Linked DNA regions of Saccharomyces cerevisiae S288C. The protein of the gene in region 1 interacts with the protein of each later gene in a biochemical or structural test. Each region holds a gene or a part of one and is shown in the gene's direction. Other genes may lie near its edges.

The links.
Region 2: of the proteins of SNF1 (region 1) and RDS2, one has a biochemical effect on the other in vitro, tested with the Saccharomyces cerevisiae proteins (3 studies listed by BioGRID, with this or other methods).
Region 3: of the proteins of SNF1 (region 1) and MIG1, one has a biochemical effect on the other in vitro, tested with the Saccharomyces cerevisiae proteins (12 studies listed by BioGRID).
Region 4: of the proteins of SNF1 (region 1) and GLO3, one has a biochemical effect on the other in vitro, tested with the Saccharomyces cerevisiae proteins (2 studies listed by BioGRID).

The regions. Positions count from the first base shown.
Region 1 is NC_001136.10:1,410,642-1,417,185, forward strand, and holds SNF1 (AMP-activated serine/threonine-protein kinase catalytic subunit SNF1), read left to right. Parts: upstream 1-1,731; coding exon 1,732-3,633; downstream 3,634-6,544. Other genes in the region: YDR476C (uncharacterized protein), read right to left, coding at 1-486; SNM1 (Snm1p), read left to right, coding at 3,934-4,530; PEX29 (Pex29p), read right to left, coding at 4,569-6,233. UniProt on the Saccharomyces cerevisiae protein: Serine/threonine protein kinase essential for release from glucose repression.
Region 2 is NC_001148.4:298,305-304,459, reverse strand, and holds RDS2 (gluconeogenesis transcription factor RDS2), read left to right. Parts: upstream 1-3,231; coding exon 3,232-4,572; downstream 4,573-6,155. Other genes in the region: SPO19 (Spo19p), read right to left, coding at 1-73; 60S ribosomal protein uL18 RPL5, read right to left, coding at 446-1,339; COX11 (Cox11p), read right to left, coding at 1,842-2,744; ODC1 (mitochondrial 2-oxodicarboxylate carrier), read left to right, coding at 4,957-5,889. UniProt on the Saccharomyces cerevisiae protein: Transcription factor which regulates the expression of genes for gluconeogenesis, the TCA cycle, and glucose metabolism. Involved in the cell wall remodeling process and drug resistance.
Region 3 is NC_001139.9:429,627-435,553, reverse strand, and holds MIG1 (transcription factor MIG1), read left to right. Parts: upstream 1-2,491; coding exon 2,492-4,006; downstream 4,007-5,927. Other genes in the region: YGL034C (uncharacterized protein), read left to right, coding at 1,975-2,340; VIR1 (Vir1p), read right to left, coding at 4,224-5,927. UniProt on the Saccharomyces cerevisiae protein: Involved in glucose repression of the SUC, GAL and MAL genes as well as of the CAT8 gene. Binds to two sites in the upstream region of SUC2.
Region 4 is NC_001137.3:400,730-406,972, reverse strand, and holds GLO3 (ADP-ribosylation factor GTPase-activating protein), read left to right. Parts: upstream 1-2,620; coding exon 2,621-4,102; downstream 4,103-6,243. Other genes in the region: casein kinase YCK3, read right to left, coding at 586-2,160; YER121W (uncharacterized protein), read right to left, coding at 4,254-4,598; phosphatidylinositol-binding protein SCS2, read right to left, coding at 5,104-5,838; AVT6 (aspartate/glutamate transporter), read left to right, coding at 6,131-6,243. UniProt on the Saccharomyces cerevisiae protein: GTPase-activating protein for the ADP ribosylation factor (ARF) family. Involved in retrograde vesicular transport from the Golgi to the endoplasmic reticulum.

The DNA.
Region 1 (6,544 bases):
GAGTCGCAGCACAAGATCACTATCCAGCCACGCCTCTAAGGTGGAGCCCACAGGATTAGGGACCAGGAAAAAGATAGCGTGCAGTGCAGGACGATAGAGGTAGCACAATGGCGGTAGCGCCACGCCTACCAGGATCAACAAGTCTACTAGAGTGCAGGGGTACTCAACAGTGTCGATCTGGATGAGCGACAGCTTCCTCTTCTCCGCAGCGATGCGGAACATCTTGTTGAAGATTTGCTTGATTCCGGTAGCAGTGCGGGTATCGTTGCCCGTGTCATTGTCAATGAAGTAGATAATCTTCTCGATGTTCTGACCCGTTTCTGTGTGAAGGAACTTGAGCGTAAACGTGGACGTCTGCGTGTCGATCTCTGTCAGTCTGACATGCTTGACGGCCTTGGTAATGGGAACGTGGCCAAAAACGGCGAGACAATCCTCCAGCCCCAACTTGTGCGTATCGTTGATGCTTACAATTAACGAATCCCACATACTTGTGTATACCCGTATACTTGCTTGAGTTGATAGAACGCACGCTCTCGCCGATATAAGCCTCCACTCTTTATATATACCATATCCAAATAGGTGTGCACTTTGTGGCAAGGAGTAATTATAAACGAACAGAATATCCCGACCACATGGCAAGACCAAGAAAGTTCAAGACTGCGCAAGAAACGGCAGAACAGAAGCTGCTCACTAACTTCAACCTTGTAACTGAATTCGTAGGGTTAAAACTCCACCACGTTTGTAGCGGAGCAATGTCGCCTTTAAGAAGTCGCTAGCTATCTCTTTCGCCTCCGTATAGCAATCATTGTCTAATGCAATCCGCCATCGTTATGTCCGCGGCTTTTGTCTGGAGGGCAAATCACGATAGGAAGAGGCATCTTCTGTAGTAAAGGCGTCTGTAGTAAAACCTTTTCTTGGAAGCCATAACAAATCATGGCCACCAATGCCTGGCAAAAAAGGGTGGCATTGAAGGGAAATTTCAAAGATTTTTTTAATAGAGGCCCTAGGAAAAAACATGTCCGTACGTTTAGATACGGTTATAAACTGTACAATCATTTGCTATCAAATGCTGAACCTTCCCCAAGGGACTAAAAGCTGGAAATGGCAGTGTGCTACTATTTCTTTTAGTCGTATATTTAACTCTCGATCTTGCAGGCTATGATGTCCCATATGATGTCCCACATGACGCAAGTAACTTCAAAAAAAGAGGAATTGCGTGGCGGCGTGGATGCAAAAGGATGGGCGTGATGATGGGACTCGAGACCTGGTTTTACTCAATGTTAGTCATATGTATATAGTCCTTATAGGCCCATATTAGAAAGTACATGTCATAGTTACCCTCTGCAGTTTTTCTCGTAGCGGAAGGGGATGGAAATTTTTAACGTAAAAGAAAGTTGGTAAGAGTATGGCACATCAACAGGTAGCGTTATAGGGGCCAAGACATAGCTTTGGGCTTAGTACTGTAGGCTTGTTACCAGAACTTTCATTTATCGAAATATTCTTTTTTCACATTTCCTCTTACTGCGCATTCGTGTCCAAACAGTCATTCAGGAAGTATAACGATAAACAATAGATTGAAGCCTGAAAAAAAAAAAAAAAGCACGACAATAGAAATTGTTTCAGTGTCATTGGCTTTTGATAATATATAGAGGCTGTTTCAATAATCATAGCGAAAGAAATAGAAGTTTTTTTTTGTAACAAGTTTTGCTACACTCCCTTAATAAAGTCAACATGAGCAGTAACAACAACACAAACACAGCACCTGCCAATGCAAATTCTAGCCACCACCACCACCATCACCACCATCACCACCACCATCACGGTCATGGCGGAAGCAACTCGACGCTAAACAATCCCAAGTCGTCCTTAGCGGATGGTGCACATATCGGGAACTACCAAATCGTCAAAACGCTGGGAGAGGGGTCCTTTGGTAAAGTTAAATTGGCATATCATACCACTACGGGCCAAAAAGTTGCTCTAAAAATCATTAATAAGAAGGTTTTGGCAAAGAGTGATATGCAGGGCAGAATTGAAAGAGAAATATCTTATCTGAGACTCTTAAGACACCCCCACATCATCAAACTGTATGATGTTATCAAATCCAAAGATGAAATCATTATGGTTATAGAGTACGCCGGGAACGAATTGTTTGACTATATTGTTCAGAGAGACAAAATGAGCGAGCAAGAGGCAAGAAGATTTTTCCAGCAGATCATCAGTGCCGTCGAGTACTGCCATAGGCACAAAATTGTCCATAGAGATCTGAAGCCTGAAAACTTACTACTAGATGAGCATCTGAATGTAAAGATTGCCGATTTTGGTTTGTCAAACATCATGACTGATGGTAATTTCTTAAAGACTTCTTGTGGTTCTCCCAATTATGCGGCTCCTGAAGTTATCAGCGGTAAGCTGTACGCAGGCCCAGAAGTGGACGTGTGGTCATGTGGGGTTATCCTTTATGTTATGCTTTGTCGTCGTCTACCGTTTGACGATGAAAGCATCCCAGTGCTTTTCAAGAATATCAGCAACGGTGTTTACACCTTGCCTAAATTTTTATCTCCTGGAGCTGCTGGGCTAATCAAAAGAATGTTAATCGTTAATCCATTGAACAGAATAAGCATTCATGAAATTATGCAAGACGATTGGTTCAAAGTTGACCTGCCAGAATATCTACTTCCACCAGATTTGAAACCACACCCAGAAGAAGAGAATGAAAATAATGACTCAAAAAAGGATGGCAGCAGCCCAGATAACGATGAAATTGATGACAACCTTGTCAATATTTTATCATCGACCATGGGTTACGAAAAAGACGAGATTTATGAGTCCTTAGAATCATCAGAAGACACTCCTGCATTCAACGAAATTAGGGACGCGTACATGTTGATTAAGGAGAATAAATCTTTGATCAAGGATATGAAGGCAAACAAAAGCGTCAGTGATGAACTGGATACCTTTCTGTCCCAGTCACCTCCAACTTTTCAACAACAAAGCAAATCCCATCAAAAGAGTCAAGTAGATCATGAAACTGCCAAGCAACACGCAAGAAGGATGGCAAGTGCTATCACTCAACAAAGGACATATCACCAATCACCCTTCATGGATCAGTATAAAGAAGAAGACTCTACAGTTTCCATTTTGCCTACATCTTTACCTCAGATCCACAGAGCTAATATGTTAGCACAAGGTTCGCCAGCTGCCTCTAAAATATCTCCTCTTGTAACGAAAAAATCTAAAACGAGATGGCATTTTGGTATACGATCTCGCTCATATCCATTAGACGTTATGGGTGAAATTTATATTGCCTTGAAGAATTTGGGTGCCGAATGGGCCAAGCCATCTGAAGAGGATTTATGGACTATCAAATTAAGGTGGAAATATGATATTGGAAACAAGACAAACACTAATGAAAAAATACCTGATTTAATGAAAATGGTAATTCAATTATTTCAAATTGAAACCAATAATTATTTGGTGGATTTCAAATTTGACGGCTGGGAAAGTAGTTATGGAGATGATACTACTGTTTCTAATATTTCTGAAGATGAAATGAGTACTTTTTCAGCCTACCCATTTTTACATTTAACAACAAAACTAATTATGGAATTAGCCGTTAACAGTCAAAGCAATTGATGGTGGAACGTAAAAGAATGATATGGAAGTTCCCTTTTTTTTATGTATCGTAACGTATTTGCAACATCTTTATAATATCCCTTTGTATAAAGTAAACAATCTTGATTAAATAAACCTGAACATAATTTATTGATGTGAATGTTCTTTTATTGGCATTATTTCTTCGGATGAAAAGCAAATTTCACGCTCTATGAGAAAAATTGAAAACGCTATTCTATGTGAAAATAGAGATGAGTACTACTAGTGGCTACAATAAAAATACTGAACCTTTGACAATCGTACAACAAAAGGATCCCAAAAATGAATAAAGACCAGGCAGAAAAATATCAAGAACGGAGTCTGCGACAAAAATACAACCTACTACATGTACTGCCAACACTGAATTCCAGAGCGTTATCGGGACTATACTATAAAAATTTTCATAATTCTGTGAAGCGATATCAAATCATGCTGCCAGAACAACTGAAAAGTGGGAAATTTTGCTCCCATTGCGGGTGTGTTTACGTTCCTAATTTTAACGCAAGTCTTCAGTTAACGACTAATACCGAGCAAGGTGACTCCGACGAACTTGGCGGCGAGAGTATGGAAGGACCAAAAAAATGTATCCAGGTTAATTGCTTGAATTGTGAAAAGTCTAAATTGTTTGAGTGGAAATCTGAGTTCGTTGTTCCAACATTTGGACAAGATGTTAGTCCGATGATCAATAGTACCAGCAGCGGGAAGGTTTCGTACGCGGTAAAGAAGCCCCAAAAGAGTAAAACTAGTACTGGTAAGGAGAGATCCAAGAAGAGAAAGTTGAACTCACTTACAAACCTTTTATCGAAAAGAAATCAAGAGAAAAAAATGGAAAAGAAGAAAAGTTCGTCACTGTCATTAGAAAGTTTTATGAAAAGTTGACTGTATCATCAGTGAACATATAGTATAACAAATCAAGTTTATATAGTTGAATTGAGAGTGTCTGTTAGCTCTTCGATTGACGGATAAGATGCATCCGCGTCGATATTGTTGAGATTAGGAATAGTACCGTTTATACTTTCCTCATCAGCGCGGTCATCATCACTACTGTGAGTTAGACCGCCACTCATTGAACCCTTCGTCACGCCATGTACGCCTTGCCTATATGTTTCTTCCCTCAATGGATTAACTACTTCCTCCTCACCAAGGTTTGAAGAAATACCAGAATCCAGTTTTTTCCGCACGCAACTGTTGGTCCACATTCGCCTTCTATATGAGCCCCTTTGTCCATCAAGATTGAGGTCATAGACCCATTTTGTTTCTGAATCTATCTCGACATACTGAATAAATTCGTCCTCTACCCATTCTTTTGGATCCAAATCAAGCACCCAATGAGAATTGGCTTCCCATTCCCAATCCTTAGGTGGCTCAATTTCTTCTAATGACTTCACTGAATTTTCCTCAATACGCCTCTGGTATATTCTCAAACTAGAGAAAAGAGAATAATCGTCATCAGAGAATCCAACTGGGCGCCATTCTTTGTATTCAGGAAGATACTTTTGGATCTCAAAGATCATAACAAGTCGGTGCTCCCTAGCCTCAATGAGTTTCAAATGCTGCAAAATCTTAGATTCCAGATTAGTACTTATAGTCAAAGTTTTTAATCTTGTCTCCTCCGAATTCAATTTAGTCAACAAATATTCACGATTGGACGGATGCGAGGCAATAAAAAAACCCCAACCTAGCAGTATCAGTACGGGTCTCATTGGAATGAGCTTGATAAATTTATCCATGTACAGAAAATTTAATGTTGCTATTATTAACAATACAATAAAATAAAACGACGAAATAGCCTCGTTGGTGAAGAATGCAAACTTTTGTAATATGAGTAAAGTAAAATCGTAGAATTTAACATATAGCAGCATATGGTTTTGTAAATCCGTGAGGTTTAAGACAAATTCTTGGCTCAGTTCAGGGACTGGTTTAGGAACCTCAGGTCTTCGCAAAGGTGGGCCTTGTGCTGGTGTTTGATTATTATCTAGATAGCTTGTAGGGTTTGGCTTATGAATGTAAAGGTATTGCGGGACCATTACGCAGAATAACAAATAGAATATAGGGAGCGAAGAAAGCATTTGAAAAGGTTTCAATATAATGAGCGTGTATAAGAACATGATAGATACTGTATACGCTGGGTTAGTCCAGTTTAATATCTTTATTAATTCATCCATAATCATGAATGGTACCCCTAGTCTCGAGTTCATCTGTATAAAATTCCTACTCGTGATCTGCACAGACAGCTTAGGCCTTTCTTTACCAGCAACCATACGATGGTGAATTGTATCAACAGCCGTTTTGGAAGATGGTGGTAATGCCATTTTGATTATCTTCTCTACCAGGGTATCTGCCATCATCTTTTGGATGTTTGATGTCGAGGGAAAACCGCCACCACTAGTTGGCTGTCCACTGGAAGATGGCAGACTACCACGTGTAGGATCACTAGTTCTAGAACCACTAGATATGCTCTCTTTCTTTGCCTGACTTTTTCCATCTATGCCATTTTGCACTTTCTTCCCCTTGAGAGTTGATCTAGTTGGAGTACCAGCATTATAGGTGTCATTCCAGAAAAAATTTGTCACCGAGTCCATCTAGACGTATATACAGTAGGAGACTGAAATTTTGCTACGTATACAGGTGAGTATATTCATGCGGCCTGATCAGTAATTAAAAATACACACTATTCCTCGTTGTTATTTCTTAAAATTAGTTCAAGAAGAAGGGGTAACCCCTAAGCTTCTTAAGTTCACCACAAAAGTATTACTGGATAGTGAAACAACAACCACCCATAACATTAGTTTCCTAAACACTACGGCGGTATTCACCTAGACGCCATCCTAGAAGGCTACAAAGTGATGCACGTATGATGATATCGGACATTAGAGCGTATACATACAACAGG
Region 2 (6,155 bases), on another chromosome or scaffold:
CATTACTTCGCTCGCCAAAAACAGTAGAACATAAAATACTTTGTGCAGCAACTATTAATATTTGTTTCTTCATTGATAGTATAGCGTGATCTTATATTTGTTAGTGATGATTTTATGGCACGGACTTAGTTAGAATGCCATTCTAGAGAAGAAATCTTCATATGTTCGTTACATAAAGAGAATAAAATTACCTAAAATTGGATGATAACTTTTATAAAATCAACTACTTTTTGTGGCATTTTTTTCTTTTCTCTTTTCATCATGATTTGAGTGTACTATTACTGCAGTGCAAAAAAAGGGTAGTAATGAGGCGGTACGCAAATCGTAAAAAAAATACAAATGTAGTAAGTGGATGATGTAAATGAGTTAACTAAAAATGAATACAAAGGTTATGTGAAGATAGCTTTATTTAAAATATCTCAAAATGACGTTATATATCCATAATTTATTGTTGACCAGCCAAAGCAGCGATCTTGGCAGCAACACGAGCAGCTCTTTCTTCCTTGGACAATTTGGTTTGTCTGTACTTCTTGGATTCAGCAGCGTATTGTTCCTTGGTGAATTTCTTTTCAGTTGGCTTGAAAGCTGGGTCAGCTCTGATAGCTTCGTGAGCAGAAGTGTAGATGTCTTCCAAAGAGTCAGCATCAATGTCGTCAGCTAGGTAACCCTTGAATAATTCAGAGAATCTTTCTTCATCATCGTCAGCTAATTCTTCCATGTATTGGGAAACGTGGCCACCAAAGATGTAAGATCTCAATAATTCTGGGTCAATTTCTTCGGTTTCGAAGTCCCAACCTGGGAATCTGTTTTCGGAGTGAGGAACGTACAAACCACCGTCAGAAGCACCCTTTAGAGCACCGAAAACTCTGGCACCAGTGGTGGTTCTTTGCAAACCAATATCCAAGAAGACCTTGAATGGACGTGGACCATCTTCAACAGCTTCGGTCAATTCGTATTCACCTTCAACTTCTTCAACACCCTTGTAAGTTTCGTCCAAACCCAACTTTTGCAAGGTTCTTCTGGCGATCAACAAACCAGTAGCGTAAGCAGCAGCCCAGTTGGTCAAACCGTGGGTAATACCGTATCTTGGCAATTCGTGGGAGTAGGCAGCAGCTAAGACGACATCACCAGTGATGGTAGAAGAGATGATTTGACAGATGATATCCTTGTTAGTGAATCTAACAACCAATCTGTACTTTGGAGTGTTGTACTTGGCCTTGTGTTGGGTGACCAATCTCTTTCTTTGGTAGTAATCAGTCTTACCTTCTCTTCTTCTTCTGAAAGGAGTTTGGAAACGAGAGGAGTAAGCAGAGGACTTAGCGTCTTTTTGGAAAGCCATTGTTGCTGAGATTTGTGACGGTGTCTTTTATTTTGAAGTGTAGGAGAAAACAAAAGTAAAGGTTGGCCTCTGAAATATACTACATCGGATATGTCTACAAACTTTTCTATTTATTTTTTTTTTTTTCAAAGCATCTGGCGACTACTGGGATCTGCGACGCTAAGTGAAGCCTCTGAAATTTTCGGATGTGAGCGATTCCGCATTGAAAGCCACCAGAAAAAAAAAAAAGAAAAAAAAGAGAATATTTCAATAATTTTTTTTGCTTTATGGGTGTTTTAGGATGTCTGGATGTACAAGTTAGCTGTCTAGAAAAGCTGTATCACATGAACAAGAATCTTCATTTCTTCATTTCTATGACGGCTAGAAAACAAAGATTTGATGATTACAAGAAGTTCGGTGCCGTGATTATATGCTTAAAACATCTCAATATGAAGTCATGGTGTTTTACTTAATTCAAAAGCATAACAGTATTTATGTACATTGAATGACTTTGTATTTACAATTAATTTGAGTTGTCTTTCCTTGTGTCTATAACTTCTGGGGATAAAATAGCAGCATTAGCCAATGACGCTGCTTTTTCATCTGCATTCATCTCAGGCTCCTTTTTAGAGTCACTTACAGCTGTACCATCACCATAATGAGCTCTGAAGAATGTGTAATGTAAAATAATATCATCGATATTTCGCATCGCTGGATCGCTAGCAAAATCTGGATCGATAAAAAAGAAGACAGGCATATCTATTTCTTCACCGGCAGCTAGCTTTTGTTCTTCAAAGCAAAAACATTGGATTTTATTAAAGTATTGAGCTGCTTCACCAGGCGCTATGCTATAAGTAGCCATACCAATAATATCTTTATCGCTGTAATTCTTGGCTTTATAAAAAGCGAGGGCTGTTTCACCAGGCAGAACGTAAACCTCACGTTGTTGAGGAACGAATTTCCACGGTAAAATTTGTGATACTTCACTGGTGAATGAGATACGAATTCTCTTCTCAGTATCTACAGGAATGAGTTTATCGTCGGTAAATTTTCTTCTATCTGTTATGGGAATCCCACCAAAACCAGTACGAGCACAAATGGCTCTATAGAGTGGTACCGCTGCATATGCCAAACCCAAGAAAAGTACCGCGACGCTGCTGAAATAAAATGCAACCGTACGATCTTTAAATTTTCTCTCCCTTGCTCTTTTCAACTCTCGCAATTGCTGGATTTCATTTCTAGTAAGTTTTGAAATATCAAATGTATGTTTTGGTTGTTCGCTGTTCACTGAATAACTTCTCAATGCAACGTTTTTGCATATGGCCCGCCTTAGAGCTAGCGCATGAGGTGCCAACCATGAGTCGGATCTAAGAAAAGTTCCTAACAGTGGAACCTTAGATCTAACAATGGGACATATTCTTATCATGACAATATTAGGGAATTTTGGCTGCAATATTATTTGTTTGTGCGCTGAAGTGCTATTTCACCTGCGACAGGAATATTATTACTTTAAAGAAGATACTTAAGCGTTCGCTGCCCCTTTAGACTCTTCACTGTTCTTTGATTTGTATTGGTTAGTATCTATGTCCTTAAAAGATATATCATGTTTCATCCGTCAAAGGGCATTGGTTAGGGAAAGGGTTTTCCAATGGTTACGCTGTTTTTCCTACAGATCCGCTCCTTAGATGGGGAGAATAATGTTTTGGAATGGCAGAAAACAAGAAAAAGCAAAACAAAGAGTACGAAGGAAAATGAAAAATAGTTGAATATTAGAAAAAAGGATGAGGTCTCTGGGATGGAAGAAGAAAGTAATTCTTATGAGAAAATTTGCGGGAGTTCTTTGCCAGTGAGATAAAGTTTTTTTTAATTTTAATCAACACAAAATACACATATTTATATAAACTGACGAAATAATGTCAGCAAACAGTGGTGTAAAACGAGCCAGTAAGGCTTTTAAAACATGTTTATTTTGTAAACGGTCACATGTTGTATGTGATAAGCAACGTCCATGTTCTAGGTGCGTCAAGAGGGATATTGCCCATTTATGCAGGGAAGATGATATTGCGGTTCCAAATGAGATGCCATCACAGCACGAAAGTTCTCCGAATGATAATAATATACAGGGCAAATATGCAAATAAAGCACACACTGGAATTCCGTCTGACTATCAGAATGAACCAGTCAATAAAAGTGGATCCACATATGGAGAGGAACTGTCACCGAAACTAGACTCCTCTCTTGTAAATGATACAACCAGCTTGCTGCTTCCGCAACAACCTGTATTTGTGTCCGAGAATGTTGGTTCGGAATTCAGTTCTTTGAATGAATTTCTTTCTATGCTAGAAAATCCTCTATTGACTCAAACATCACTAAGTTCCAGCAGTGCGAGCAATGTTCATTTGGAAAATGGCTCACAAACCACACAATCGCCATTAGAGTACCAAAACGACAATCGTAGGGATGAAATAGGAGTGGCAAGACAAGAAAATAGGTCGCCTACTATTATGTCAGGTTCTTCCAATAGTATCTCGAAAGGGGATAAACAAGATCAAGAAAAGGAAGAGTCTCGAATTCTAGCGAATGCAAACGAAAACAGTGCACCGACACCGAAGGAACAATTCTTTTTAACAGCGGCGGATCCGTCAACAGAGATGACACCAGAACACCGGCTGAAGTTGGTCATAAATGCGAAGCTTGAAGCAGGATTATTGAAGCCGTATAATTATGCCAAGGGGTATGCAAGACTACAAGACTACATGGACAAATATATGAATCAGTCTTCCAAGCAAAGGATTCTGAAACCACTATCCACCATTAGACCGGCGTTTAGAACCATTGCGCGTTCATTGAAGGATGTTGACTTAGTTTTAGTGGAGGAGAGCTTCGAGAGGATGTTATTATCTTATGATCGTGTTTTCACCTCTATGAGCATGCCAGCGTGCTTGTGTAGGCGTACCGGTGAGATTTACAGAGCCAATAAAGAGTTTGCTTCACTGGTTGACTGCACAGTCGATGATTTACGCGATGGAAAGCTTGCGATCTACGAGTTGATGACAGAAGAAAGCGCTGTGAATTTCTGGGAAAAATACGGGTCCATAGCGTTTGATAAGGGTCAGAAGGCTGTTTTAACAAGTTGTAGTCTTCGAACCAAAGATGGAATCCGCAAACGGCCATGCTGTTTTAGTTTCACTATCAGAAGGGATAGGTACAACATCCCAATTTGCATCGTCGGGAATTTCATCCCTTTGTCATAAGCATAAGTAATACATAGTAGGTAATTGGTATTTCCAGCGTCATTAAAAAGCAAAGTAACGGGTTTACTTTTTCCTCAAGCCGCTGGCCCGAGCAGTTACTTGAAATAGCCGTATTACTACGAGCAATACGAAGACCTTTTTCTACCAGCATTTGTTTTTTTTCAAATCATTCCCATTATTACCCCAGGATCTTTTCATAATGCGGCGACCAGAGATAGGGAAAAAAACTGCGAACTGGCTGAATCTGATTTGGCGAAGGGCAGATTCTCGGGTATTTCTGTGAGGGTGACCGCCGTTGATATATATCAGTGACTTTTGGGAACCTTTATCTCATTTATTCTCAAGATAGAACTGTAACGAGGGTGAAAGAAAAAGAACTGTAAGATGACATCTATAGATAATAGACCTTTGCCGTTCATATACCAGTTCACAGCCGGTGCCATTGCCGGCGTCTCGGAGCTATTGGTGATGTATCCATTGGACGTGGTGAAGACAAGAATGCAATTACAAGTGACAACCAAAGGTCATCCCGCTGTTGTTGCAGCGAAAGCAGCAGTAGATCACTACACGGGCGTGATGGATTGTCTTACAAAAATTGTGAAGAAGGAAGGATTTTCGCATCTTTACAAGGGTATCACATCGCCTATATTAATGGAGGCTCCGAAAAGAGCAATTAAGTTCTCCGGAAACGATACATTCCAAACGTTTTATAAAAAGATTTTCCCCACGCCCAATGGGGAGATGACTCAAAAAATCGCCATATACAGTGGTGCGTCCGCTGGCGCCGTGGAAGCCTTTGTCGTCGCGCCTTTTGAACTAGTGAAGATTAGATTACAGGATGTGAATTCACAGTTCAAGACACCCATTGAAGTTGTAAAGAATAGTGTTGTGAAAGGTGGTGTTTTGTCACTTTTCAATGGGTTGGAAGCCACTATCTGGAGACACGTTCTTTGGAATGCCGGTTATTTCGGTATAATATTCCAAATTCGGAAGCTTTTGCCGGCGGCTAAAACAAGCACGGAAAAGACCAGAAATGATTTGATCGCAGGTGCTATTGGTGGCACTGTCGGGTGCTTGTTGAATACACCATTTGACGTGGTAAAATCTAGGATCCAAAGAAGTTCCGGGCCGCTGAGGAAGTACAACTGGTCCCTGCCTTCAGTGCTGTTAGTTTACCGTGAGGAAGGGTTTAAAGCATTGTATAAGGGATTTGCGCCAAAGGTCATGAGACTTGCCCCCGGTGGTGGGTTATTGTTGGTAGTTTTCACGAACGTCATGGATTTTTTCAGAGAAGTCAAGTATGGTAAAAAACAATGATCCTGACGCTTTTTATTTCATTTTGTTGTAGCCCGCCCATACATGTATACGTATATATATATATATATTTATTGGAAGTAAAAGTAAAAAACTCGCTTACCTAGCACATGTTTAAACAAGCGTTGAAATGAAGGAAATAATGAAAGTCTAGTTTTGTCTAGCGATAAATAGTGTTAATTAAAACAGCCTTTTACAACTAAAGAATATTTATATAATAATGATGCCATATACCACACATGGGAAAACAAATATATAAGGGGGAAGTG
Region 3 (5,927 bases), on another chromosome or scaffold:
CGCTTCTCTTTTTCGGTCGCGTAAAAGGATAATATTATTAATGGAAAATTTAGCCGCCGAGGACATAATCTTTTGAATCTTCATAAAAAAGCAACTGTAAGCAATGTAAAGTCCAAAACTTTACCATTTTTTGTTTGATCTTGCATGAGAATACCGGGTGAGCCTAACATGAAAAAGATAGCTAGCCACTATTGTAAAAATGTGATAAAGGATACGAGACTCAAATTCACTTGGATAACTATCTAGCAGGTTTTGAGTCAGCCATATTAGGTTACATACCGGTCCAAACCTATATAGAGCCATTGTACGATCCGACTACAAGTTATTTATATGGAAATTAACAGATTGTTTGGAGTCACCGTACGCAGCTCACATAGATAGCTTATTGTGCAAAATATAATTAAATAAAGATGCAAGATGGATGATAACAAGAATTATAAGCAAAGGATTATTGATGTTCCGAATAATTCAATTCACTATATAACAGGTGTTGGGTATATGTATGTGATCTACCTGGTACGTGTAATTTAAAAAATAAAATAATTGGGAAAACTACGGAATTACGTTTGCGCATTGCGTCCGAAGATCAGCACCTCAGATAAAAAATCAACTTTCGCCGTGGTAGACTTCGAGATACTCTGCTAATAGCGATGCTCGATATTACTACCAATGTATGTGAAGGTTTTGATTGTATTCAATCCTTTTTCAGATAATTTACCCTTGCTTTAAGCTGCGTATATCAAGTGCATTTGCTGTCTGCTGATGTCAATTAATTGTATCAATTGGCCAGCTTCGGATAACGAACGATTATCGCGCGAGTGAAATAGACTGGGTCGACCCTTTTGAATTATCACGGCATCGCAATATCTTTGGAGCAGTACAACATTTACTTTTCTTGACCAATCCTAAGAGTTTGTATACATTTTTTGTAAACTGTAGTACGGCGTTAGAGTCAAGAAGTAGCTTATTATATCCTGTGCACAAATTTCAAAGTTTTTGCCGCCATCATATGGCTGAAAGAGGGCAGCAAATTCCATCTCGTTATTTTTGCATATCAACGCAAGCGTTACACAAGATATGGTTAGAAGCAACGAGCAGAAATTCATTACAATGACAGAAATTAATTGCCGTTGCAACATTGTTTTGCCTCTATCGCGTGTGTTTCCTTGAAGGCAGTGTATCACTGAATGTCATCAGTAATGTTACCAAGAATGAACATCCTCCAAATACTCATAGAAACCCGTTTAAAATTCGGGAATTGATGACTTCCTTATGGTAGGCAAGTGTGATTTACAGACTTTCCATGCGATGAACCCCTATTTTAATCGTATGGATCACCAGATCAAGAATTGGCAGTTCTGTCCCATTATTAGAATAGCGAGAAAACGGATGCTTTCATAATTTTTGATTGTTGCTTCATCCTATTTCACCCTATTTAATAGCCTTCTGTAGAAATATCGTGTATGGTTCCTTTATCATTGCTTAGCATAGCTGCCACTAACCTACATTAATCGACTTTTTCCCGGAAAATTAGCGGGTAATCGATTTTTCTAGATGGCATTGTGGAGGAAAGTAAGTGCGTGGGGTGTGTAAGTTGCCGTACAATGCAGTATAACCAGTAGGACTGGAAGGTAGTCAGTACAGTAAGACTAGAAGTTAGCGAGCCAGCACGTTTCCTTCGCGCCGGTTTTTTTTTTTATTTTTTATTTAATTTTTTTCAAAACTTGACGTGTAGAAGATTGACGTCTGGGGTTGGCCCCATGAATTTTTTATCTATTTCTTCCCTGTGCCTAATTCGTAATATCTCCACTGATAGCGTAAAAAAGCGCTTTATTTTTCCGAAAGTTGTGATGGCATTCCATACAGTTTATAGGATGGTAGCAAGTGATAAGAGCTTGGGGCCCACAATTAAGCAGCAGAAAAGCGCAATTGCGACACTAGCAGTGTAACTCGATAGGATTTTATGGAGTGTTGATGAATGTAGTTGCCATTATAATGGCTTCTCAGGAAACCTGTAGCGGCCGGGCCCCGCGAGAAACTCCAGAGTGGCGTAGGCCGGCTTGTTTAGTTGCTAGCATACTTGTTCGAGCTCTTGAGTTCTCCTGGCTTTTCTCCACGTGTCTGCTTGTTGCCTTTGATTTCGCGAGAGACTGCGGACTGCCACCCCACTCCGGGAAAACCTGGAGTGATGGTAAAGGCCCTGCGGCGCTTTCTTTCGGAAAAACTAATACGAAAGAAGCAACAACAAATTTTTACAACAGGCTGGACGAGAAAAGTGGGGAAGAGCAAGCAGAAAAAAGAAAAGAGAATAGTCGTTCTTGGATAATTTATTTATTATAACCCTTTTTTTTCACCCCAGTACTCATTAACGAAGACAAAGGAGAGTAAGAAAGCCCGGTAAAGCATTTCGAAGATAAGAGAGCCATTTATTCTAGCTCGCTTGTAACTACACGAGAGTTGAGTATAGTGGAGACGACATACTACCATAGCCATGCAAAGCCCATATCCAATGACACAAGTGTCTAACGTTGATGATGGGTCACTATTGAAGGAGAGTAAAAGCAAGTCCAAAGTAGCTGCGAAGTCAGAGGCGCCAAGACCACATGCTTGTCCTATCTGTCATAGAGCTTTTCACAGACTGGAACATCAGACGAGACACATGAGAATTCATACAGGTGAGAAGCCTCACGCGTGTGACTTCCCCGGATGTGTGAAAAGGTTCAGTAGAAGCGATGAACTGACGAGACACAGAAGAATTCATACAAACTCCCACCCTCGAGGTAAAAGAGGCAGAAAGAAGAAGGTTGTGGGCTCTCCAATAAATAGTGCTAGTTCTAGTGCTACCAGTATACCAGATTTAAATACGGCAAATTTTTCACCGCCATTACCACAGCAACACCTATCGCCTTTAATTCCTATTGCTATTGCTCCGAAAGAAAATTCAAGTCGATCTTCTACAAGAAAAGGTAGAAAAACCAAATTCGAAATCGGCGAAAGTGGTGGGAATGACCCATATATGGTTTCTTCTCCCAAAACGATGGCTAAGATTCCCGTCTCGGTGAAGCCTCCACCTTCTTTAGCACTGAATAATATGAACTACCAAACTTCATCCGCTTCCACTGCTTTGTCTTCGTTGAGCAATAGCCATAGTGGCAGTAGACTGAAACTGAACGCGTTATCGTCCCTACAAATGATGACGCCCATTGCTAGCAGTGCGCCAAGGACTGTTTTCATAGACGGTCCTGAACAGAAACAACTACAACAACAACAAAATTCTCTTTCACCACGTTATTCCAACACTGTTATATTACCAAGGCCGCGATCTTTAACGGATTTTCAAGGATTGAACAATGCAAATCCAAACAACAATGGAAGTCTCAGAGCACAAACTCAGAGTTCCGTACAGTTGAAGAGACCAAGTTCAGTTTTAAGTTTGAACGACTTGTTGGTTGGCCAAAGAAATACCAACGAATCTGACTCTGATTTTACTACTGGTGGTGAGGATGAAGAAGACGGACTAAAGGACCCGTCTAACTCTAGTATCGATAACCTTGAGCAAGACTATTTGCAAGAGCAATCAAGAAAGAAATCTAAGACTTCCACGCCCACGACAATGCTAAGTAGATCCACTAGTGGTACGAATTTGCACACTTTGGGGTATGTAATGAACCAAAATCACTTGCATTTCTCCTCATCATCTCCTGATTTCCAAAAGGAGTTGAACAACAGATTACTGAACGTTCAACAACAGCAGCAAGAGCAACATACCCTACTGCAATCACAAAATACGTCAAACCAAAGTCAAAATCAAAATCAAAATCAAATGATGGCTTCCAGTAGTTCGTTAAGTACAACCCCGTTATTATTGTCACCAAGGGTGAATATGATTAATACTGCTATATCCACCCAACAAACCCCCATTTCTCAGTCGGATTCACAAGTTCAAGAACTGGAAACATTACCACCCATAAGAAGTTTACCGTTGCCCTTCCCACACATGGACTGATACGCTGACAAGTTTTTGGCGGTGCAGATAAATCAAAAGACAATAGACAAGAATTAATAATATTAACAATTAATAATTAATAAATAATAAATAATAATAATAATAATAATAATAATAATAATAATAGTAATAATAATAATAATTAATAACGATAAAAATATTTAATTATGATAGTAAGAATACATATTTTGATTGTCTTAGTCTTCCGCAGAGATAATTAATTGTTCTCATTTTCAAAGTCATCTATATGTATTGATTGAGCTCTACTGTTGTTTTTAACTTTATTGTGGCCCCCTAAAATATAATTTTTACCAGTATTAACCATTTTGCTCTTATTAGTACTTTTACTGATGGTGGAACCCTTGAAATTTGTCATGGGCGATTCAATCCATAGATTGTTATTGCTGCTTCCACTAGTGTTCTTGTATGGAATTGGTGTCGTAGGTGCCGTAGTCATAGCATCGGTTGCTCTAGTTAAGGTGGTTGGTTGTCTCGTCATATTGGTATTGGTTGTGTTGAATGAATTGTCAAGAGAATAACTCTCATTCATGGAACCAGGTCCTTGTGTGCCGCTGTTATTGTTGCTACCATTACTTTCCTGAGAAATTAGGCTGCTTTTGTTGAACAAAAACCTGTTGGAAGAACATGGAGTAGAGTTTTGAGGCTGCTGCTGCTGCTTACTAACGTTAGTGTTAGTGTTTTTCGACGTGGACGGTATGAAAGATGTGGACGAGTAGACATCGTACTTCGATAACGTAGTAAAGTTTTCAATATTTTTCTGCGCAGCTGATTGTGATGATGTACAATTATCGCTTGTTGATGCTGAAGTTATTGTATTTGGTGGAGTGGATATCACAAATTGAACATCCTCAGGGAATAATTTCAGCAAGTCAGATGTTGTTAGTTTTATTGGCTTAATCTTTGGTTGCTCTTCATAGAAAAGCTCCTTATAAAATGCATTATAAACTTCAGAACCGTCATTCCACAATGTGATGTAATCTTTCAAAGCTTGGAAAGAAAGTTGATTTTTTAAACATAACTTTTTAATTAAATTATCATCATCACTTCCATCCCTAATTTGATGGAAGAACAAATGATTCAATAAGTTTATGGATATTTTTTGTAAAATCAAATCATCCAGAGAAACCTTTGTCGCGAATTTGATCAAATGATATAGTGCTAAATTTTTTTCCTTTATGACCAAATTTTCACACAATTTCAAAGAGCTAAAAAAAATTAGTTGAGAAAATAATTTCTTGACTGAGGAAGACCCGATGAGATTTATATTTTCCTCTTTCTCTTTATGTCCTTCATCTCGTTCTTGGCCTCGGTCTTTTAATTGTTGGGCCAATAATAATGAAGTAAATAATGGAACGAGATAAAGCTGCATGTATTGTTCTATTATCACATGATTGTCTTCATTACTGTGATCATCTGATGATTGAATTAGTGGGTTAATCTTCAGGTCATCATAATCCCTTAGAAGTTTAGAAATTAAAAGAATGGTTAAATTCAAACAGCGTAATACATCATTTACAATCATAATTGAATCCGACTCATGGTCTAGGTTCTTGTCAAAAGTGAAAAGCGATTTCGAAATAGGCGGAATTGGTGGCAAAATTGAGTCCTCAAACCAGTATGGAATTTGGTACCTCGTTTGATATGATTGCGTCCAGTCTATTTTTCTGTTATTATTACTAATACTGCTATTATTGCTATTATTATTGTTATTAGTGATGGTAGTAGTAGTAGTACTAGTGGTGTTAGTACTACCATTAATAACGCCATTGTTGTTAATGTTGTTATTATTGATGTTATTAGTAGTGATGCATTTCCTGTTGTATTGATTAATTAATTGCGAAATACTGCCCATGTTGATTAAGAATTTCGATAGAAGGAACTGAATGATATTTAAAGTGGA
Region 4 (6,243 bases), on another chromosome or scaffold:
TGGCTTCTTAATTTAATATCAAAATCTTCACGATATGCATTCATTCTCAAGTTTGTAATTGTGCATTTTTTTATATATAGTCCCGCTCTCAAGTGAATTAGAAAAGTAAAGTATACACGCAAAACAAGGGCGTAAATAAAAGAAAACGAAAAAGCAACTAAATAAAAGCTTACATCCAAGTATCAAAGAAGTCGCTCACGGTTTCTCCAATTCTTGAACCTTGATTAATCATAAATTACATATTATTTTGGATATTCTTAAAAAAATGCTATAATAGTGCTTGAAGATAGATTTAGCACACCAAAAACATACCGGGATTAATATATATGTGCGTGTAGTCTTTTGATAAAGGAATATACAGAAGGAAAACGATTACGATGCTGACTATGTCTCATTTTCTTCTTTTTCCTGTTTCTTTACCCTCTCCGGAATTCAATTATTGTAGATGATAAAATAAAGGGTAACAGAGAGAAAGAGAAACAAAATAATACATTATTGGAAAGTCATAAATTGGGAAAGAGCGGCATAAGGAAACAGCCAATCAAAAAAAAAAAGGAAAAAGAGAAAAGTATAAAAATCGCTTTATCAACAGCAACAAAAACAGCAACAACAATATTTGTATATTTTAGAACAAAATGTATCATTCTCGTCATCAGAATAAGCATCATTTTCTTGTTCGTAATTTCGTTGACTTTGATAATTGATATTCTTATTTGCAAGGTTTGTGTAGTGGTTTGGTAAGTTGTGCTCATTATTACTTCTTTTAGGGTTAGCTTTAGAACTTGAATATGGTACAAATGGTGAATTTTGTGTATGACTGATGGAGTCGTACGTTTGACTTTGACTTTTAATTGGCCGTTGAAGATTTGAATGTGTTTCAGGAATATATTTACTATTGGGTTCGATTTTTTTCAAGACGTGTTGTTGTTTAGTAAAGCTCTGCGGGTTCGAAGAAATTCTGGATTTCGAATTGTCCTTGTTATAACTGTTTTGAGCTTGTTGCTTAGGTGTCGCAACTGGCGTTGTATTTCGTGTCTTTGAATTCGTATTCACATTGTTTCTTGCAGTATTGCCATTGACTCTTGGATTTGGATTTCCGTAACCATGCAAGTTAGCTCTTCTATTAATCTTGATATTCCAGCCTTTACCACCATTCAAATCCATCCAGTCATAGTGTCCATCATCCTTTAAGTCGTTTAATCTCAAAGCGTCATCCATTAACGAGATTAAATAGTCATAATCCGGATCTTCGTCGAACTTCAAGGAACGTGCATATTTTAAATATGTGGCAAACTGATAAGGAATAGCATTATTCAATAAAAGATCATCAGGATTCAATTTCTGTTTAGTCATACCAATCTTTTCATACTTCAGTTTGTTGTTTGGTGCTTTCAAACCTTGCCATGGCAAGGATCCCCTCAAGAAATAAAAAAAAACGTGACCTAGCGATTCTAAATCATCCCTACGTGACTGTTCTCTTCCAAAATGAGTATTAATAGACATATATCTGGCGGTACCGCTCAATGATTTTCGTTCACGGTATGGTATATGTTGTTTCGTTCTTGGATCTCTATATTGTTTTGCCATACCAAAGTCAACCATGTATATTAAATTGGGATCATTATTAGAAGAGGAGGCACATGATTTAATGACTTTTCCTTCAGGTGAAATTCTTTGATATTGAGAAATTAAAAAGTTATCGGGTTTAATATCGCGATAGATTAAGTCGTGATCATGAATTGCTCTAACTCTATCAATCATTTGCTTGGCAACCATACAGGTTGTTTTCACTGAAAATTTTCTACCACACCACTCAAAGAGATCTTCCAATGATGGCCCTAGTAAATCGATAATCAAGATGTTGTGCATACCTTCTTGACCAAAATAATAAGCATGGGGAATTCCAACGCAGCCATTCAATATCCTATAGGCTCTAAATTCGTCACGCAACTGGGGTGCGTCCGAATGTCGCGGTTCGAATTTAATTGCGACTGGCTCGTTCGCCATTATTATACTAGAGTCCCTCTTGCTACCGGTCTGCGCTTGACAAGAATGAAGAATGTTCTCTCCCTCAAATATTACTCCGAAAGACCCTTCGCCAATCTTAGGTCCTACAGCATAATGAATACCTACAATGTGTTGTGAAGATCGTTGGGACATCTTTCCTTATCGTCCTTTTACACTTTTTCTTCAGAATGAGATACCACTTTTGATTAGTGGACCGTAGCACGTATACCCTTAAATAGCAGACAATTCTTGCAAAACGGATTTCCTTCTTTTTTAAAAAACAGCAAATAATACCAGTACCTAGATGTTACGAATGCTGTTCCCCTGTTACTCTCTAAGCTGCCCTTTTCAATTCACCTATAGAATGTTTAAAATTTTACTTTCAATATTGGTATTATCTATGACACAAAAGGAAAAGTAACATCGTTTGGTCATTTTCGACGACACGGTAAAGTTTCGAAAAAAAAAAAAAAAAAAGAAAACAACTATTCTTCGTAAACACGATTTAGCTGGCATTTTATAAAAGGAGATCAAGGCGATAGCAAAGAAAGGGTATTTGTTAAGTACTTGTTGATCCGGTCTTCTTGAGCAATTTAGTATACACATAGCGACAATGAGTAACGATGAAGGAGAAACATTTGCCACGGAACAGACTACTCAACAAGTTTTTCAGAAGCTAGGTAGCAACATGGAAAATCGAGTTTGTTTTGATTGTGGTAACAAGAATCCTACTTGGACTTCGGTACCTTTTGGTGTGATGCTGTGTATTCAATGCTCTGCTGTGCATAGAAACATGGGTGTTCATATCACCTTTGTAAAGTCTTCTACATTAGATAAATGGACAATTAACAATTTAAGAAGGTTTAAGTTGGGTGGGAACCATAAGGCTCGTGATTTTTTCTTAAAGAACAATGGGAAACAGCTACTAAATACAGCAAATGTTGACGCGAAAACAAAATATACGAGCCCTGTTGCTAAGAAATATAAGATACATCTCGACAAGAAGGTTCAAAAGGATATGGAGTTATACCCATCAGAATTAGTCTTGAACGGTCAAGATTCTTCGGACTCACCGTTGGACACCGATTCAGACGCTTCCAGGTCGACTTCCAAAGAAAATAGTGTTGACGATTTTTTCTCTAATTGGCAAAAACCAAGCTCCAATTCCAGTTCTAAACTCAATGTAAATACAGGCTCTCTCGCCCCAAAAAACAACACCACAGGCAGCACACCCAAGACCACTGTCACTAAAACGAGAAGTTCCATCTTAACGGCTAGCAGAAAGAAACCGGTATTAAACTCGCAAGATAAAAAGAAACATTCAATTTTGTCTTCGTCAAGAAAGCCCACTAGACTAACCGCAAAGAAAGTCGACAAATCACAGGCAGAAGACTTGTTTGATCAATTTAAAAAAGAGGCTCAACAAGAAAAGGAGGACGAGTTCACTAATTCGTCTTCTAGCACCAAAATTAGACAAAATGATTACGATTCCCAATTTATGAATAACAGTAAAGGCAACAATAATAACAGTATAGATGATATTAATACCCAGCCTGATGAATTCAATGATTTTTTAAATGACACTTCAAACAGCTTCGACACAACTAGAAAAGAACAGCAAGATACTTTAACACCCAAGTTTGCCAAATTGGGATTTGGTATGACCATGAATGACGCCAATGATTTGGCAAAGCAACAAAAAGAATCTCAGAAAATAGCTCAGGGACCAAGATATACGGGCAGAATCGCGGAAAGGTACGGCACACAAAAAGCTATATCATCTGATCAATTATTTGGTCGTGGCTCATTTGATGAAGCAGCAAACAGGGAAGCGCATGACAAGTTGAAAACATTTGACAATGCTACATCAATTTCCTCTTCTTCATACTTTGGAGAAGATAAAGAAGTGGATGAATTTGGTAATCCCATCAATAGTAGTGGAAGTGGAGCAGGGAATTTTGATGGCCGTAATTCTAATAACGGTTTCATCGATTTTAATGCCTCCGCAGATGATGAATTGCAGATGTTGAGAGACGTTGTAGAACAGGGTGCTGAAAAACTCGGTAGTTATTTAAGGGACTACTTAAGAAAATAAGTTTAATTTTCTCTTTAATTGAATTTTTTTTTTTTCATTGTTATCATTGTTTTTTATTCTCATTTTTCATTATATGATAATTATATTTATGGTACATAGAAACGGTTGTATATGCATTGTACGTGCGTTTATTCTTATTCTTCATCCCCCCTTATCTTAGTTTAAGGTTTCTAAAATCGAAAGTTTCATGTGCGTATGAAGCGGTTGAAAATGCAGACGAGGTAGCATTTGGTTCATTAGCATTATAAACACTTTGCTTTAAAGAAGGTAAGTTATTTTCGACATCTCTGTTTCTAATTGCTTCATCGTCCACATAGGGAGAGTCTATACCCACTTTCCAAAACGAGTTCATTACTTGATTACCATATTCGTTAGAAACACTTGCATTTAAACTATCACTTGCCGCAAGGGCGTAGTAGTGCGCATCCTGTTGCATTTCTTCGCTCTTTTCCTCTGCTGGCCTTGAATTCTTGTCGTGCCAGCGCGATAAGCCCATGTTACTATATTGTCAATATGTGAGTCCCTCGTTCACTATGAGACCTAGCAAAAAACAAACTGAAAGTAGGTGGCTGTTTATGTATTCATTTATTTATGGACCTTTTAGGCGCGACCCCCTCGCAAGATCTTCGTTAATGTGCATCCAAGACCCTCCCCTCATTTAGTAGACCCCGCATTGTTATGGTTAATAACGGATAGTTATTTGCCCAAGATAGCGCCTACTACACTAGGGAAACCGAACATGAATAAATTAAACAAGTAATATGTTACAACAGTGGTATAGTTATCGATTATTCTCCTATTTAAAAAATAAAACATATAAAAAAGTTAGGAAAGTATGATCTTTTAGTTCCTTGTTCTAGTATTGTAAAGGCTACAGAAGGAAACAATAAAAAAAGATTGTAGAAAAACAAAGTAAAATAAAGACTGAAAGGAAGGAAAGGGCAAAACACACACATATATAAATATATATTTAGAATACAGCTATATCCTCAATCTCCCTATTATCTGTAGAACCATCCTAAAACCAAGATAAGGAGTGCAACCAATATGAATATACCCATGCTGGATGATTCATTTTCTGCAGGTACGGTTGCGGCTTCCTTTATCTGGTTCTGTGGGGCCGGAGTGCTGTTGGACGTTTGCTTCTCATTTTCATGAGGAACGGTTTTCTGAACGACAGGTGGGACCTCTTCTTTCTTTACTTGGACGGGAGGTTGAGTTTCCGGTTCAGCAGGGACCTCCTTTTCGTTTACCACAGCAGGCACTTCCTTTGGCTCACTGTCTTGGACTACTGGTTCAACAGTTTCCTTGTTTTCCTGTATATTTTGGTTCTGTGCTGGGTGTACATCTGGACTTATCAAATATTTGACTTTTATCTTTTTAGAGATAGCCTGTTGCTTGAACTCAGCCTCCAAGTCGGACCAAACATCTGCAACAGCCTTGCCATTGAGGTCGTAAGGAGAAGGCAACGTGATAACCAGGAACTTGTCACGGCACTTAAAGTCTGCGGCAGGCTCTTCAGTCAAACCCAGGAAGATAACTTGAACCTGGATTGTTTCACCTGGAGCAACAACTGCGGCGTTTGGTCTCACGCAGTAAAACTTTGGGGCTGTGGTCTTGACCTTAAATGCAATGGTTTGGTCTGAATTGTTGGAAATACTAGCGTATTCTGTCGATTGCTCCGTTAATGGAGACTTATACACCAACACGTCAGGGGAAATTTCAACAGCAGACATACTTAGGTTCGCGGAGATTGTAGAATACCCTTCTGCTACACTATTAACACAGAATGTGCGTCAAACCACACCACACAATAAACAATGCACTTTGCTACTAAAACCATTCTATTCACCTTGCGAAAACAACAAGCGAAAAAAAAAAAGCGAGGGCGAAAGAGTAAGATCACCACGCACGTTTAGGGGATCGGAGAGCTTATCTATACAGCAACTAGAAGTATATAGAACAACAATGGTCGAACGACGGGTTAGTTTCACAGCTCAATAACCATAGAAAGGAATCGTGCATCATATGGTAGCTAGTATTAGATCAGGTGTGCTGACACTTTTACACACGGCGTGCGGTGCTGGTATCCTGGCCATGCCGTACGCATTCAAGCCGTTTGGATTAATTCCTGGAGTGAT